2 linked regions of the Saccharomyces cerevisiae S288C genome follow. Each later gene encodes a partner of the first gene's protein in a complex. Each region holds a gene or a part of one and is shown on either strand. Other genes may lie near its edges. The genes, in order: NPL4 and UFD1. A codon is read from its position in the direction of its gene.

Region 1 (4,256 bases):
AAGCAGAAAAGCAAAAAAAATCAGAAAAGACAAAAAAGGACACACAAACACAAACAGAAGGCTTTAAGACATCAAAAGATTTGCCTTCATTAAATTCCTCAAGCGCGAATCCGGCACCATGGGCCTCAAAAGTCAAAGTTAACAATGCAATCGAAACTTCAATTAAAAATGGTGTAAGTAGCACTGGAAAGAAGAAAGGAGAACCCTTAGGTCTACAACAGAGGAACAGCAAAGAAGAAAAGCAAAAGGAGGAACTAAAATCCGTGCTTAACTGGGCTAACAAGTCCAGCCTACCATCGAATCAAACTATTGATATTAAATCTCAGTTTCAAAAAAGCCCAAAAGGGATGAAAGAGTCGTCTCCGTTAAAGGAGTTGGAAGATCCAAATTTCATAGAAGAGCAGAAAAAACTATGGGAAAAGGTTCAGAGTTCTTCCAAACAAGTAAAGTCCACATCCTCTGCATCTACTACCACATCTTCTTGGACTACGGTGACTTCTAAAGGGAAAGCACCTATAGGAACCGTTGTCTCCCCATATTCAAAAACCAATACCAGTTTAAATTCTTCATTAACGGCAAAAACTAGCACAACTTCTACTACCACTACCTTTGCTAGCATGAACAATGTTTCTCCCCGGCAAGAATTTATCAAATGGTGTAAATCACAGATGAAATTAAATTCTGGAATAACCAATAACAATGTCTTAGAACTATTATTGAGTTTACCTACGGGGCCAGAATCTAAAGAATTGATTCAAGAAACAATTTATGCCAATAGTGACGTTATGGATGGTAGAAGATTTGCCACTGAATTTATTAAAAGACGTGTTGCGTGCGAAAAACAAGGTGATGATCCACTAAGTTGGAATGAAGCGCTAGCTCTATCAGGCAATGATGACGACGGCTGGGAATTCCAAGTAGTGAGCAAGAAGAAGGGTAGAAAACACTGAAAGGAAAAGCTTCATAATTTTTTCTTTTCACTGCATATTTCTTTATCATTTATTGTTATTGTATATACTTTATAACTATTTTTTAACGCAGATAATGACAAATTCTATACATATTTTTAAAAAAACACTGAACGAGCGAATACATATCTTTGCACACAGTAGGCACTAATTGACTAATCTTCCATCATTATTTATTTTCAGCTCCCACTCTTTAATACACACTTCTTTCCGTTTCAAGATTGATTGATAACGTCTAGAGAGAGCTTGATTAAAGCAAATTTCTTTACAAACCATAACGAACAATTGAACCCAGCCCGGTTGCAATCTTTCAGCTTCTTGTAAAGTATCTTTAAATTCCAATTCAATTAATTTAACTTCAGTTTCAAATCTCTTCCAGTAATCCTCCCCAATAGAGCCATTTTTATATAGAAGGTTTATCTGAGGAGCCAACTCTTTTAACTTTAATGATCGTCTAACAGATTCTGCTCCTCTGTTCAATAAAGCGGCCTTCAACACCTTCTCGTGAATTTTTTCATTTTCACTCATTTCCTTTATTTGGAAATACAGATCATGGGCATCGTTTTCGTCAAATATGGATGGTTGCTCACTAATTTTTTTGGCCTGCTTCTTTCTGTAGCTTGAAGCAAACATCACAAGGGACACCACCAGAATAAAGACATATATGAGTGGGGTATAAACGGAGATTGATTTCGTCTCCACAATTGGCTCTTCCGTTTCAAAAAACGTCCCGTTGTTGGAGAATTTTGTTTCATTAAATTCGGACATATTGGCAAACTCAAGTAGTTGTGCGTACCTCTTTCCTGTACTTGAATTCGTTTAAATAAGCCATTTCATTAATATTTCATCAATTTTTTCACATATTATTTCAACTTTTAGACGTGTTCCTAAAACTTTTGACGTTTTTTGGCGGGTAATAAGATGCGTCTACCCATTTTAAGGAACGCCCTCGTAACATACAGAACGAAGAGTGGCAAATAATAGGACAGTACTCTGAAGAAAAATTTCCCTATACTACTGATATCGATATACATTTAAGTGAAGTATGCTTATCAGATTTAGATCAAAAAACGGTACACACAGGGTTTCTTGTCAAGAAAACGACCTTTTCGGAACGGTCATTGAAAAGTTGGTGGGTAATCTGGACCCCAATGCCGATGTCGACACATTTACTGTTTGTGAGAAGCCCGGTCAAGGTATTCATGCTGTTTCTGAACTAGCTGATCGAACAGTGATGGATCTAGGACTAAAGCACGGTGACATGCTGATCCTTAACTATTCGGACAAGCCCGCTAATGAGAAAGATGGTGTCAATGTTGAAATCGGATCCGTAGGTATTGACAGCAAGGGAATTCGTCAACACAGGTACGGTCCACTAAGGATCAAAGAACTCGCTGTAGATGAGGAACTAGAGAAAGAGGACGGATTAATTCCTCGTCAAAAATCAAAACTATGCAAGCACGGTGATAGAGGTATGTGTGAATACTGCTCGCCTTTACCTCCTTGGGACAAAGAATATCATGAGAAGAATAAGATCAAACATATATCGTTTCATTCATATCTTAAAAAGCTAAATGAAAATGCTAATAAGAAGGAGAACGGCAGCTCTTATATTTCCCCTCTTTCAGAACCTGATTTTAGAATCAATAAGCGTTGCCATAATGGCCATGAACCATGGCCTCGGGGGATATGTTCTAAATGTCAACCATCGGCAATTACATTACAACAGCAAGAATTTAGAATGGTTGACCACGTTGAATTTCAGAAGAGTGAAATAATTAATGAATTTATTCAGGCGTGGAGGTACACGGGTATGCAAAGATTTGGCTATATGTACGGATCTTATTCTAAGTATGATAACACACCTTTAGGTATAAAGGCCGTCGTTGAGGCGATATACGAGCCCCCTCAGCATGATGAGCAAGACGGTTTAACCATGGACGTAGAACAGGTCAAGAATGAAATGCTACAGATTGATAGACAGGCTCAAGAAATGGGGCTTTCGCGAATTGGCCTAATATTTACAGATTTATCTGACGCGGGAGCTGGGGATGGGTCTGTTTTTTGCAAAAGACATAAGGATTCGTTTTTTCTTTCATCATTAGAAGTTATTATGGCTGCTAGGCATCAAACAAGGCATCCTAATGTAAGCAAGTATAGCGAACAAGGTTTTTTTTCTTCCAAGTTTGTAACTTGCGTTATATCAGGTAATTTGGAAGGTGAAATTGATATTTCGAGCTACCAAGTATCCACAGAAGCTGAAGCATTGGTTACTGCAGATATGATAAGTGGGTCCACATTTCCTTCAATGGCATATATTAATGACACTACAGATGAAAGATATGTACCTGAGATATTTTACATGAAGTCGAATGAATATGGTATAACAGTGAAGGAAAATGCGAAGCCTGCATTTCCGGTAGACTATCTTTTAGTGACGCTGACTCATGGGTTCCCGAATACCGATACGGAAACCAACTCGAAATTCGTTAGTTCCACCGGATTTCCATGGAGCAATCGACAAGCTATGGGGCAATCTCAAGATTATCAAGAATTAAAAAAGTATTTATTCAATGTGGCTTCAAGTGGAGATTTCAATCTTTTGCATGAAAAAATCTCGAACTTTCATTTACTATTATACATAAATTCTCTGCAGATACTCTCTCCAGACGAATGGAAGTTACTAATAGAATCTGCTGTGAAAAATGAATGGGAAGAATCTCTACTAAAACTTGTCTCATCGGCTGGTTGGCAAACGTTAGTCATGATCCTTCAGGAAAGCGGCTAGGAGAGACTGTAAGATTTGAGGTTTTAGATTAAAAAAATAGAAATGCGCGGAAGGTAAAATTGAGCCTTTTTTATTTTAAAACTATGTAAATCATCCAAAATAGTAGACGTTTCTAGAACGTCCCCTTACCAAAAATCACATCATACGAGGAGTTTTAAGGAACAATAACTGGGAGTCGCTTTTACAAATTGGTATATATTAAGGTACTCTTGATATAAACCAAAGGACTTTGCCGTTTAGAGATTTTTATTTATGAAATCTTGTATATAGATTTTGGAAATATCCCTTAAAACTTCCTTTTTTTTTTTTTTTTACCTGTAACAGACGTAACCAAAGGATATAATATAATGAGCACTCCATTTGGCTTAGATTTAGGTAACAATAACTCAGTACTAGCAGTTGCCAGAAATAGGGGTATTGATGTCGTTGTCAATGAAGTTTCTAATAGGTCTACACCATCCTTGGTCGGCTTTGGCCCCAGAAATAGGTACTTAGGTGAA
Region 2 (3,604 bases), on another chromosome or scaffold:
GAGAATGGGCATGCAGCTTCCCCATCTTTGACTTCCGGGTGATGTTGGGGTAATTTTTCATCCTTTTGCTTTTCTAAATCATTTTGGTCACGTGTGCATTTTGGGGCTAGCTTGTGATTGAACAGTGATACTAAGTATAGGTAGGCTGCAGATAATGGGGCGACACCAAGTCCGCACAAAAGGTAGTTTGGTCTTTCTCCTGGTGCAGCTAGATAGTAGCTGAGTCCAAAGGCACCAGTAGCTAAACCACCTAAAACGGTGCTCCAGCATCCTAATGTGCACAAAACATTCTTCAAATGTTGAGTTAGAACATTTATTGGGGTGGTAATAGAAATCACGGTAGATGAAGTTAAAATACCGGCGTATAAACCTAATGATGAGACTGCGATACCTTTTACAATAGCTGGGGAGACTTGCATTTGTTTTTTAGTATATGTAAGGATTCTTATGAGTGTTTGTCTTAAACTTGCTTTTCGTGAGGTAAGGGTTAAAAAATCAGCTTGGATATAATTTGGAACAATAGAAACTTCTTTTCTCTCATTTATATACTGATCAACTCACAATTATATAACCTGGTTCTTTTTTTTTTTATTTTTCAACAACACAATAGATTCGAGTATGGGTAAACGAAGAGAATTACTTCGGCATTAAGCAAGGGAAATATCGCGCAACCGCGCACGTAATTATTTTTACTAAACGAACAGCAAATGCAGCAGAGCTAATGCGATGCATAAGATACTTGGATTCTAAGATCTGTTAACTTGAAAATGCTCTATATATCTGTCAAAGACACTATATTGTTGTATACTAGTATATATCTTTTAGTCAATTTCGATTACTTCCGGGCTTTTGGGAGCCTTGGACTTGGACGAATCATGGTCACTTTTCGTTTTTCTCTTATTGCTCTTCCTTAGTGAGATCCCTTGGCCTTGGAAATTTTGTTCACTGGATTTGCTACCAGCGGCACTTTCTTCGTCTTCTTTCGGTAGGACCATTGGGAAACCAAAGAATAATTGGCCTTCAGGCAGATCTAGCTTGGCGGGCTCGCCATCAAACGTTATCTTCATATCTTTTATATCTTGCTTGGGCTCCGCTTTCGGAGCTTTACCAGATATGTTTTGTCCCTGACCTACAAATTTAGATAGTTTGTTTCTGCTACTGTTAGCGATACCCGCATAGTCGATTCTTGTGGACATCGATCCCTGGCCAAGCACCGAGGGATCCAAAACTTGGCCCTTACCAAAAGAATTCTTTTTTTCTTTATCTTGCTGAGCTTTCAGCGCTTTGTAATCCGGTTCCACATATCCTACAGGTGGAGCAAAATCTGTTACTAAATCTGTTTCAATGACACATATACTCTTCGATGATGATTCTGGTTTGACTTCTAAGATCTTAATTTTGAAAGTTTTACCATTGTAACTAATCTCAATAACATCGTCCACGGTCAAAGTCGAGAAATTCCTCAGTACGTTTTCCAAAACTGCTTTGGGGTCGGAAATATCCAAGAAATCTACAGACTGAGGTTCTAACTTCACAAACTGGCCCAGAGGTACATCAGTAGATGAAATTTGCAGTAGAGATCCTGGCTGTATACCCAAAGTTTCCATCATCCATTGTGGTAAGTAAACTCTGCCCTCTTCAGCAATAAATTCTAAAACACCTCCATGTGTCACACGTCCAGTTTCATTGGCAGTTAGTTTAAAAAGCATGGGGTATCTTATGTTCAACATGGATAGTTTGCTTAGAGCACTTGGTGGCAGGAATATTTTCCCGCCGAAGTTTGCGTCATCCTTCCGTATTCTATCATTCATCATAGCTATAGGGTAGCATCTAAAGAACTCCTCAAACGTTTGAGGCATATTTACAAAACCATTTCCGCCGCCAAAAGAACTAAAGCCAGAAAACATTTTTATTATATTTTACAGTATCACTTTGATATTTTTTCCTCCCTTGCTATGGTATGTGTTACTATCTATTGAAAACTACATCATTATCTCTTCCCTATTCACATAGACCAGCCAGGATTACTTTTAACTACCTTTATTTTTCGCCACCTAACCCAAAAAAGGAATTCTTCTCTTTCGTAGAACGCAAGTTTGACTTTTTCGTCGTAAAGGCGAGTTTCCCAAAGTGGACACTTTTTTTTTTTAAGGCGCTTCGGCTAGAAATAGAAGAACGATAATAATGGCAGCGCACTGTGTATAATAACACCAGTCAACAATGAATCTGAAGCTAGAGAAAGAAACCCTCAAGTGTATCTGTGATGGCAGCAGGAAAATTGAAAAAGGAACAGCAAAATCAATCAGCTGAACGAGAAAGCGCTGATACGGGTAAAGTTAACGATGAGGATGAAGAGCATCTATACGGAAATATTGATGACTATAAGCATTTGATTCAAGATGAGGAATATGATGACGAGGATGTACCTCATGATCTACAATTAAGCGAAGATGAATATAATTCCGAACGAGACAGTTCTTTGTTGGCAGAATTCTCGGACTACGGTGAAATATCTGAAGACGATGAGGAAGATTTCATGAACGCGATTAGGGAAGCAAGTAACTTTAAGGTAAAAAAGAAGAAGAAAAATGACAAAGGTAAATCTTACGGCCGCCAAAGAAAAGAAAGAGTGCTTGATCCAGAGGTAGCGCAATTACTTTCTCAAGCCAATGAAGCTTTTGTCAGGAATGATTTACAAGTGGCCGAAAGATTATTTAATGAGGTAATTAAAAAAGATGCACGTAATTTTGCTGCTTACGAGACCCTAGGAGATATATATCAATTGCAAGGAAGGCTTAATGATTGTTGTAACTCTTGGTTCCTGGCAGCTCACCTAAATGCTTCCGATTGGGAATTCTGGAAGATAGTCGCTATACTGTCCGCCGATTTAGATCATGTTAGGCAGGCCATCTACTGCTTTTCCAGGGTAATAAGTTTGAATCCTATGGAATGGGAATCAATTTATCGCCGGTCTATGTTGTACAAGAAGACAGGACAGTTAGCAAGAGCTTTAGATGGATTTCAAAGGCTTTACATGTACAATCCTTATGATGCAAACATATTGAGGGAGTTGGCCATTCTTTATGTTGATTATGATCGGATTGAAGATTCAATTGAGCTCTATATGAAAGTGTTTAATGCTAATGTTGAGAGAAGGGAAGCGATATTAGCTGCTTTAGAAAATGCCTTAGATTCTTCAGACGAAGAAAGCGCCGCAGAAGGGGAGGATGCAGACGAAAAGGAACCCCTTGAACAAGATGAAGATAGGCAGATGTTTCCTGACATCAACTGGAAAAAAATTGATGCAAAATATAAATGCATACCATTTGACTGGTCTTCTTTGAACATTCTCGCGGAACTTTTCTTAAAACTCGCAGTTAGTGAGGTCGATGGTATAAAGACAATTAAAAAATGTGCACGGTGGATTCAACGCCGCGAAAGCCAGACATTTTGGGATCATGTTCCAGATGATTCAGAATTTGACAATAGAAGGTTTAAAAACAGTACCTTTGATTCACTACTTGCCGCAGAAAAGGAAAAATCGTATAACATTCCAATCGATATTAGAGTTAGATTGGGATTGTTAAGATTGAACACAGATAAC

Evidence for each region.
Region 2: the proteins of NPL4 (region 1) and UFD1 are in contact, whole or in part, in a cryo-EM structure (PDB 8DAR), measured with the Saccharomyces cerevisiae proteins. Residues at the interface, in NP_009729.1 of Saccharomyces cerevisiae: Gln258 (codon at 2,785), Glu292 (codon at 2,887), Gln293 (codon at 2,890), Asp294 (codon at 2,893), Gly295 (codon at 2,896), Leu296 (codon at 2,899), Thr297 (codon at 2,902), Met298 (codon at 2,905), Phe326 (codon at 2,989), Thr327 (codon at 2,992), Asp328 (codon at 2,995), Ser330 (codon at 3,001), Phe340 (codon at 3,031), Cys341 (codon at 3,034), Lys342 (codon at 3,037), Arg343 (codon at 3,040), His344 (codon at 3,043), Asp346 (codon at 3,049), Ser351 (codon at 3,064), Leu353 (codon at 3,070), Glu354 (codon at 3,073), Met357 (codon at 3,082), Arg360 (codon at 3,091), Ser415 (codon at 3,256), Gly416 (codon at 3,259), Ser417 (codon at 3,262), Thr418 (codon at 3,265), Phe419 (codon at 3,268), Pro420 (codon at 3,271), Tyr424 (codon at 3,283); in NP_011562.1 of Saccharomyces cerevisiae: Val232 (codon at 1,214), Leu233 (codon at 1,211), Gly236 (codon at 1,202), Ser237 (codon at 1,199), Met238 (codon at 1,196), Ser239 (codon at 1,193), Arg241 (codon at 1,187), Tyr244 (codon at 1,178), Ile247 (codon at 1,169), Ala248 (codon at 1,166), Phe285 (codon at 1,055), Asp286 (codon at 1,052), Gly287 (codon at 1,049), Glu288 (codon at 1,046), Pro289 (codon at 1,043), Ala290 (codon at 1,040), Lys291 (codon at 1,037), Leu292 (codon at 1,034), Asp293 (codon at 1,031), Leu294 (codon at 1,028), Glu296 (codon at 1,022), Gly297 (codon at 1,019), Gln298 (codon at 1,016), Leu299 (codon at 1,013), Phe300 (codon at 1,010), Phe301 (codon at 1,007), Gly302 (codon at 1,004), Phe303 (codon at 1,001), Met305 (codon at 995), Val306 (codon at 992).

What each region holds. Positions count from the first base shown.
Region 1 is NC_001134.8:575,844-580,099, reverse strand, and holds NPL4 (nuclear protein localization protein 4), read left to right. Parts: upstream 1-2,013; coding exon 2,014-3,756; downstream 3,757-4,256. Other genes in the region: SMY2 (Smy2p), read left to right, coding at 1-950; Sec63 complex subunit SEC66, read right to left, coding at 1,116-1,736; adenyl-nucleotide exchange factor SSE2, read left to right, coding at 4,104-4,256. UniProt on the Saccharomyces cerevisiae protein: Substrate-recruiting cofactor of the CDC48-NPL4-UFD1 segregase. Assists CDC48 in the dislocation of misfolded, polyubiquitinated ERAD substrates that are subsequently delivered to the proteasome for degradation.
Region 2 is NC_001139.9:588,129-591,732, reverse strand, and holds UFD1 (polyubiquitin-binding protein UFD1), read right to left. Parts: upstream 1,908-3,604; coding exon 822-1,907; downstream 1-821. Other genes in the region: SCM4 (Scm4p), read right to left, coding at 1-419; transcription factor TFIIIC subunit TFC4, read left to right, coding at 2,264-3,604. UniProt on the Saccharomyces cerevisiae protein: Functions at a post-ubiquitation step in the ubiquitin fusion degradation (UFD) pathway. Has a role in the endoplasmic reticulum-associated degradation (ERAD) pathway.